Mus musculus: one gene and its partner. The protein of the gene in region 2 purifies or fractionates together with the protein of the main gene of each other region. This does not show direct contact. Links are inferred from orthologs where the notes say so. Each region holds a gene or a part of one and is shown on either strand. Other genes may lie near its edges.

The links. The genes of interacting proteins can lie anywhere in the genome.
Region 1: the proteins of Xrn2 (region 2) and Cdkn2aipnl purify together in Homo sapiens (co-immunoprecipitation; 6 studies listed by BioGRID and IntAct, with this or other methods). This does not show direct contact. The link is inferred for Mus musculus from reciprocal best matches to the Homo sapiens genes XRN2 and CDKN2AIPNL.

What each region holds. Positions count from the first base shown.
Region 1 is NC_000077.6:51,966,251-51,970,436, reverse strand, and holds the start of Cdkn2aipnl (CDKN2AIP N-terminal-like protein), read right to left. Parts: upstream 2,807-4,186; 5' UTR 2,719-2,806; coding exon 2,480-2,718; intron 294-2,479; coding exon 194-293; intron 1-193.
Region 2 is NC_000068.7:147,040,469-147,044,029, reverse strand, and holds part of Xrn2 (5'-3' exoribonuclease 2), read right to left. Parts: intron 3,215-3,561; coding exon 3,079-3,214; intron 2,043-3,078; coding exon 1,935-2,042; intron 1,857-1,934; coding exon 1,767-1,856; intron 1,171-1,766; coding exon 1,098-1,170; intron 1-1,097. UniProt on the Homo sapiens protein: Possesses 5'->3' exoribonuclease activity. May promote the termination of transcription by RNA polymerase II.

The DNA.
Region 1 (4,186 bases), on a different chromosome or scaffold from region 2:
GCCCACTTGTTACTCCACAGACAGTGCATAATTTATCACACTGACCTGTTATCTAGTTAAGAAAAGGTTTACACCAACTGTGAAGAAATAAGGAAAGGCCTTAAGACTGTGCTGCAGGAAAGGAGAATACGCACACCAACACAATGCAGTGTAAGCTGGGCCCTTGGTATCTACACTTGCAAATGCCTCTCACCTTTCTCATTAGTTCGCTTCTGGTTGTAAACTGTGGCAGGTCTTCCACTTCAATCCCATCAGCCATTTCCATCACCTTGTCCAGAAGGTCTTTATTATAACTGCACAATAAAAAGCAGTAAGGTAAAAACCTGGGAAGACTCACCTGTCACTACGGGTTAGTAAGAAAGTGTAGTTATTAGACTGTAAATGCTACCCCTAGAATACAGAACCGCTTGGTCACTGGTAAGGTCACACTATGCCATCTGAGGTTTGCCTCAGCCTTCGCTGTAGCTGGAATACAGATGCGTATATATCAAGCTTTGTAAAGACTGATTTGATACTGCAGGGGAGACCATAGGTGCTTAGCATACAAGTTAACAAATAGTTCTTCCTGCCTGTGAGGACAAACTAGGCTTGAGAACAATGCCAATACAGCAGATGTTCCAAGAATTACAAAAACAGAGGCAAGAGACATGGCTCAGCAGCTAAGACAGCACCTGAGACTCTTATAAAGGACCTGGGTTCAGTTTCTACATGGCTGTTAATTTCAGGTCTCAGATATCTGACGCCCTCTTCTGGCCTTGGAGGATACTAGGTACATATTTGTACATAGTCATACACATAAAATAAAAATCTTTTTAAAAATTACAAAAACAGGAGTTTGGAGAGATAATTTAGCAGTTGAGAGCACTTGCTCTCAGAGGACCCAGTTTCAATTCCCAGCATCCACGTCAGGTGGCTCACAACCACCTGCACTTCCATCCCAGGGAATCCAAAGCTGTCTTCTGGCCTCCAACGGCATGAGGCACTCTTACAGTGCAGGCATGTAGACAAAATGCCCATAGGTATAAAATTTAAAATAGGTATAAACAAGCAAACAAAAAGTTAAATTAAAATTACAGAAACAGGAGCACCATATACCTGGTGGTACATATTCATGGATGAGATTTGAGGGCCTAAAAATTGGATTATTTTTAAAACACACAGAACGTTGGTCTCATGAAAATAACACCATTTATCCCTTTTGTTCAGTTCTCCGTCACGTGTCTGAGTTTGGATTCTGTAATCTCAGATTTTAAAGGGCACCGCAGGAAGGAGGATGGGCCTGTGTGTGTGATGGGTGTGTCTAGCTCAGCGTCCCCACATCCGGTTCTGACAAATCATCCCAACATCTGAAACCAAGCCGCTTCAGCACTGGTGATGAGGCTCGTGACTGAGTGCTTATTTTGGATGTGTAAGGGCCTGGGTTTCATCCCTAACACAAAACCCAAAAAGTAAACCAAGCAGTTTGGCCTGGAGGGGGTCCTGTGACCACTACAAAATCAGGTATGAGTGAGGGTCTCCTGTTCTAACACAACCTCACGAAACTCTAGAAGCCTGGAAGAGCCTGGCCATGCATGCCTCTCAGGACGTGGTTGCCTAGGTGGATCAAGTTCTAGGATTGCCTGGGCTACACAGTAAACTGGAGGCCAGTCTCAGTTATAAGGGAAGACTGCCTCAAAAATTAAAAATCACGGGCTGGAGAGATGGCTCAGCGGGTAAGAGCACCCGACTGTTCTTCCGAAGGTCCGGAGTTCAAATCCCAGCAACCACATGGTGGCTCACAACCATCCGTAACAAGATCTGACTCCCTCTTCTGGAGTGTCTGAAGACAGCTACAGTGTACTTACATATAATAAATAAATAAATCTTTAAAAAAAAATTAAAAATCACAAGGGAGTATAAAAACCTGGTGTCATTTCCAGGTGGAATATCTCAAGGCCAGGCTCTTGCCTTCCAGGTGTGATCACAAAGACTGGGGAGGGCGGGGAGTTAGGACAGCAACAAGATAGCATGGGTTACTTTCCTAAGAGGGAAGCCAAGAAGAGAAAGGGGAGAAAAGATTACATCCTGCCTTAGCGTGAAACCCACCAATGGTGAGATACATCACATCCTCTTGCTAGGTGTCTTCATCTAGAGGAAGAGTCTGCACTTTTGTCACGTGGGCGACAGGAGCTAATAGACTTCAAACACACTCTGGAAAGGAAGTCCTCTGGGCTAATAAACAGTAATAACAATGACCATTGCAATTCGGCCGCCTTGGAGCACACCTGCACTGCACGCCCTATCATTCAGCTGCTGTAGTCATCCCAACCACTCATTCACAAGAGAAAAGCGAGGCTCAGAGGAGAGATTTTTTTCCCGAGGGAATGCTAAGAGGGGATCAGTAGGAGGCTGGCGCCAGGTTCAGCGTGGAGCAGTGTATATGCCCAAGCTGAGGATCGACTGATGGGGACAAGGTCAGCCAGCTGTCGGGGGTCCGCACCTGCAACCCAGGAAGAGGTGGTTGGCCCAGACCATGGATAAGGACAGCAGCTGGTCCAGGCGGCCGCCGCCGTCGGGTGGGTCTCGGTAGTCAGGCAGGTGGCGCAGGATGAACTCCATGCGCGCTTTCCATTGCTTCTCGCTCTCCGAGTAGGAACGAAACTGCTCGGCGAAGTCGGCGGCCTGCCGCACGCCGGAAACTAGCTTCTCCACCGCGGCGCTGGCCTCGCCACCCACCATGGCTCCCGCTGCCGCAGCCGCTGCCGCCGCTAAGGATCGCACCAGCCCGCCGCTTTCCCGACACGCCCCGCGCCGCCGCCGCACGGCTAGAGCGACCACGGCTGAGGGCGAGTGCTCTGGAGGACTTATCTGGAGCGCCCTCGCGGGGCACGGAGGTCTAGTGCAACCCAGCGTGTGTGGCAACTGCTGGGGAGCTTGAGGCCCGCCAGCATAGAGCTGGCAGCTAGGTGCCCATTGGGACTCTGCAGTGCCCTTTTTGCCCTGGGTCGTTCACCGGGCATCTGTCTATCCTCAGCCACACCTGAGGTTTGCCCTAAGTTCTGTGGCTGTCCCTTGGGAGTGAGGTCCTCTCTTTTATGGATCCACTGTTATCTCAACATCTTCACTGAGGTTGTGTTCTCCTATCTTGCTGTATTCATCATCCAATCAGTACATACAAGGCATTTTGTTTCGTGCCCAGGATGCCCCACTCTAAAGGACTTTGTGAGGGACCCTCATGGTGGAAGGAGAGAACCAACTCCTGAAAACTGTCCTCTGACTTCTACATGCAAGTTGTGGTACTTTGATGTACACACACACACACACACCAAGCAAGTAAATAAATGTAAAAATATAAAATGTAAGCTTGAGTCAGAAGAAAGCCTAGAACTCAGGACCTCCAGATCTAGTGAAGGTCTTAAGTGGTGAGTGGGCTTCAAGGAAGTTCATTATATACTGTTTACTATTGCAGATCCTTCCCTCCCGCTCCCCCAGGGTCATACACGGCCAAGCTGGCCTACAACTGCTTGCTTGCTCCCTTCTGTGGCTTCTGTGGCAGTGTTAGGATCCCAGCAGGCAGAAATACAATCCAGTCCGCAAATGCCAGAGCAGTGAGGACCAGCACCAAGCTGGGTGCTCTCACCTCAGGAAGACACAGTGCTGACACTACGGCTTGGAACATCTGAACCAAACATGAGAATCCAAAGACAGAAACAGCTTTCCCCCAGCAGTCAGCAAGTTAACTGGATAACAGCGACCAGAGCTGAGTCCCAGGATACAGATGCCATACCCTGACTGATACTGCAGTGGCAGGTTCCCAAGTGAAACCTCAGATACCCAGAGTCAAGGTCCCTGGTAATTCTGATTCTAGCTTCAGCTGATCAGACTCTGAGGACATTTGATGTGCCAGGCACAGTGACAGACACCTTTTGTCCCAGCTACTCCATATGTCAAGGCAGGAGAATTATTTGAGCCTGGAAATTTGCTGCCATCCTTATCACCAGAGAAAGATGCTTGACTCTTAAAAACACTGCGGAGGCTTCAGTGAGCTACATCCTTGGTTCCTTGGTTGTGTACTGCAGTGGTTGGTCTAGAAATGAGAGCATGGGGGCTAGAGAGATGGCTCGGGAGTTAAGATAACTGGCTGCTCTTCCAGAGGATATGGGTTCAGTTCCCAGCACCCTCATTGTGGCTTACAGCCACCCACAAC
Region 2 (3,561 bases):
TTAATTAGCCCTCCATTTCCTCACTGCTTCTCTAATTAAATCATCCTCTACAAAGTTCCTTCAAAAGCCTTTGGAGACGCTAATCCATTTACATGTGACCAAAGCACATTTTAAATAGCCCCAATATATTGGATGCATTTTTTAGTATCATTATATTAAAGTAATAAGAAATTATCACTACTATTTAAACCAAAAGCTAACCCCCAATTACAGTACATTTTTTGTTGGTTTTGATTTTGCAGGGACCAGGGGTAGAGGGAGTGATGAGTTTTATGAGGTTTGGGGGGGGATCAAAGGCACTTGTGCATGCCAGGTAAATAATCTCCCACTGAGCTACTTCTTAGCCCTTCAATCTGTAAATTGATGATACGCCCCCTCTGCCTCACAATTCTGAGCTTAGTATCCAAAAAAAAGGATACAGCACAAGAAAGTGTCAGAGGAGAATTTGATGAGCAAGTGTTTTTTACTGTGTGTTATACTCAATGACCAACTTTTGTTGAGTAGTGATTAACATCTTAAAGTTAGTGTGAATTTTTAAATTGCTTTCCCACATAATCTATTCACATAAGGAATGTAAAGAACGGGCAAAACATAAAATGTCAACTGTTAAGTTTCTACTATATATTTTACAAGTTTCCATAACCCCAAACATGCATGACTGTGTTTCTTTCTTAGCAGTTTTGAAAGGTGGCAAGGGGTTACTGATTGAAGAAAAACTCACAAAGAACACTATTTTAACCTATTTCAGTAAGTTACCACTTACCATATTTTACTATTAGAATTACTATTGATCACTGATGATTATGATTGAATATTTATATCTACTTTTCACATGTAATTATGAAAGTATGGTTTCCAGAGTTTTTTTTATCCTGTAAGTCATGATTGATCAACTTCATTAAAAACTGTAAACAAACAAGGTGATGGTGGTGCACACCTTTAGTCCCAGAACTCAGAAGATAGAGGTAGGCAGATCTCTGAGTTTGAAGCCAGCCTGGTCCAAAGAACTAGTTCTAGGACAGCCAGGGGTACACAGAGAAACCCCCAATCCAAACAAACAAACAAACAAACAAAAAGGAATGATATCTAAATTTTACCTTGCCATGCATATTTCTTCCCATTCAAATCAATAGCAAAATCTTCAGGATAGAAGTCAATTATACTGGAATCCTGTTTCAGGAAGAAAGTAAAAGAATCAAAAACAAAAGCCACATACCTTGTCTCAAAAAACATGAAATAACTTTAAACAAAGAAAAGAGTTTTAGAACTGATAGTTATGGACTACATGCAGGCAGTGAAAGGTTTAGTTACTCAACATTTCCTACCTCCTGGCTGGGTCTCACTACGTAACCAGCACAAAAGAACAAGCTTAGAGTTAATTTTAGGTAAGTCAGATAGAATGTTTAAAGTTCTCATAGGGTTGAAAGAAATAAAAATCATTATGCAGGGTGTGATTAACTCACAACTTTAATTCTAGTACTGGGGAGTCAGAGGTTGATCTCTTTGAGTTCAAGGCCAGCCTTGAACAGGGGGAGTTCCAGGACTACATAGTAATTCCCTGTCTCAAAATAATAACATGTAGATTGAAAACAAATCAGTTTTATTTACTGGGTAGGAAACTCAGAGACAAAGAAAGTACAGAATACCACATTATGCAGTGAAAAGCAAAAAACACATTCTTTGCATATTTCAGCTTTTTAAAACTATGACATGCAAAGTCAACTTTGCCTAATGTTCCTAACACATTTGAAAACACTAAGACTTACAGGGTCACTCATGAGCTTCCGCCATGTTGGAGGTAGAAAGTTACCACTTGCAGCTGGGAAAACCCCCATTAGTTGTTCCAGTGGCTTAAACTGCAAGAGAGGGAAAGGTTAAAGACTCCCAATTATTATGAAATTCAAATTCCTACTTCTCATTGACTTGAAGCTTACCGGTTTTGTGCCCTTTTCAAATTCAGAGGACATGTCTGCAATACCTTCAAAGTCTGAGGCAAATGGTGCATAATGGAATGGATAATACCACTTCCAGGAAGCACAGCCCTAAAATCATTAATGACAATTAAAAGCAAAATACTCTTAATGATGAACATGGTTAAAAAAAAAAATTAGCTATGACTATCAGTCTATAATATCTTATTTGTAAAACATGATTTCTGGCATATACTCCACTCATTAATTTTTCTGAGTTCAAAATACTGTTTATAACTGTCTGCTTCATATCAGTGGTTCCTTTATTTAAAAAATATTGTAAACTTTCTTGAATAATCAGTAATTAATATCAAACTTTGTATTTACAAATACAAATTCACTAAGATATTTATCCTTAAAATATATTTGATGACATTTCTTTCCAATCTCAGAGCTTCTGTCATCGAATAAAACCAAACACGGTTTTCACCTGGTATTTACTGAACAGGTGGCAGTAGTAGTTGCGAACATCAACAGTAGCTGAGAATCAAACAACCAAAATGTACTATTATACTTCCATGTGGCAACTTTCTCTTGACTATAAATACACTAAAATCAAAACAAAAGCAAGTTGTGCTCATGGAAAAAGAGAAGCCTTTTTAGTGTGCTGTAAAACAAGAAGGAAGATCTTTCCACCACTACTCAGTGCACTGGACACACTGACCCAATTCATCTCATGTAAAATCACAGTAACATAAGAGAATTGTTACAATCAAATTCCTTTCAAATTTTTATTGGTACGCAACATACTGCATCTTTTCTTTAGTTTCTTAGTGACTTTCAAATGCCCAATTGGCTTTAAACTCTTTAAAAAAACAAACACACAAACCAAAACCCACTTAAACTTTAATAATATTAATGACCAACTCAAACATTGTAATCCTTAAAATCCTTTAACACAACAGAACCAAGTTTTATTGATAGACTAATTCTTAAGGAACTTCCAAGTCTTTACAAATATTATTCATGGTAATAATTTTTAGTAGTAAGTTTAAAACTACAAGTGTAGGCTTTATCTAAGGATATTCAATATTAGGTACAATTATAGAAATTACTTGTTTTCTAAAATGATTAGCCAAAAACTTAGGAGGAAAACTTCTTTTGATACCTGGTAATAATAGCGAAGAACCCAGCACAGTCCTTCAACGTAGGACTGAACAACCTTACGTCGGAATTTCTCATCAGCTGCATCTACATCAAATTTGTTCTTGTAGTATCGTTGCTTCCAACCAGCTTCCCATAACCTAAACCAGGTAAAGTAACATTATATTTAATTAATACATCTCTGACTAAAGATTGTCTACTGATTCCCAAACTGAATCAATTCATGTTTAATATCTAAGGGATATTGAAGAAGCTGAACAAAAAAGCTAACAGATTCATTAGCTTTCTAACCACTCCATTTTCAGCATTATCAACTTAAACATCAGAAACCCAAATACTGACTCTAATAAGTACATTAAGAAAATACATTTTAAAAAAAGAGGATAATCATTCATTGAGCAAATACATGATACTTGTCTGTGCCAATTTTAATACTGCTTTCCATATTTGCTTTAATTGTGCAATAACTCTAAAACTATGTTCTAAG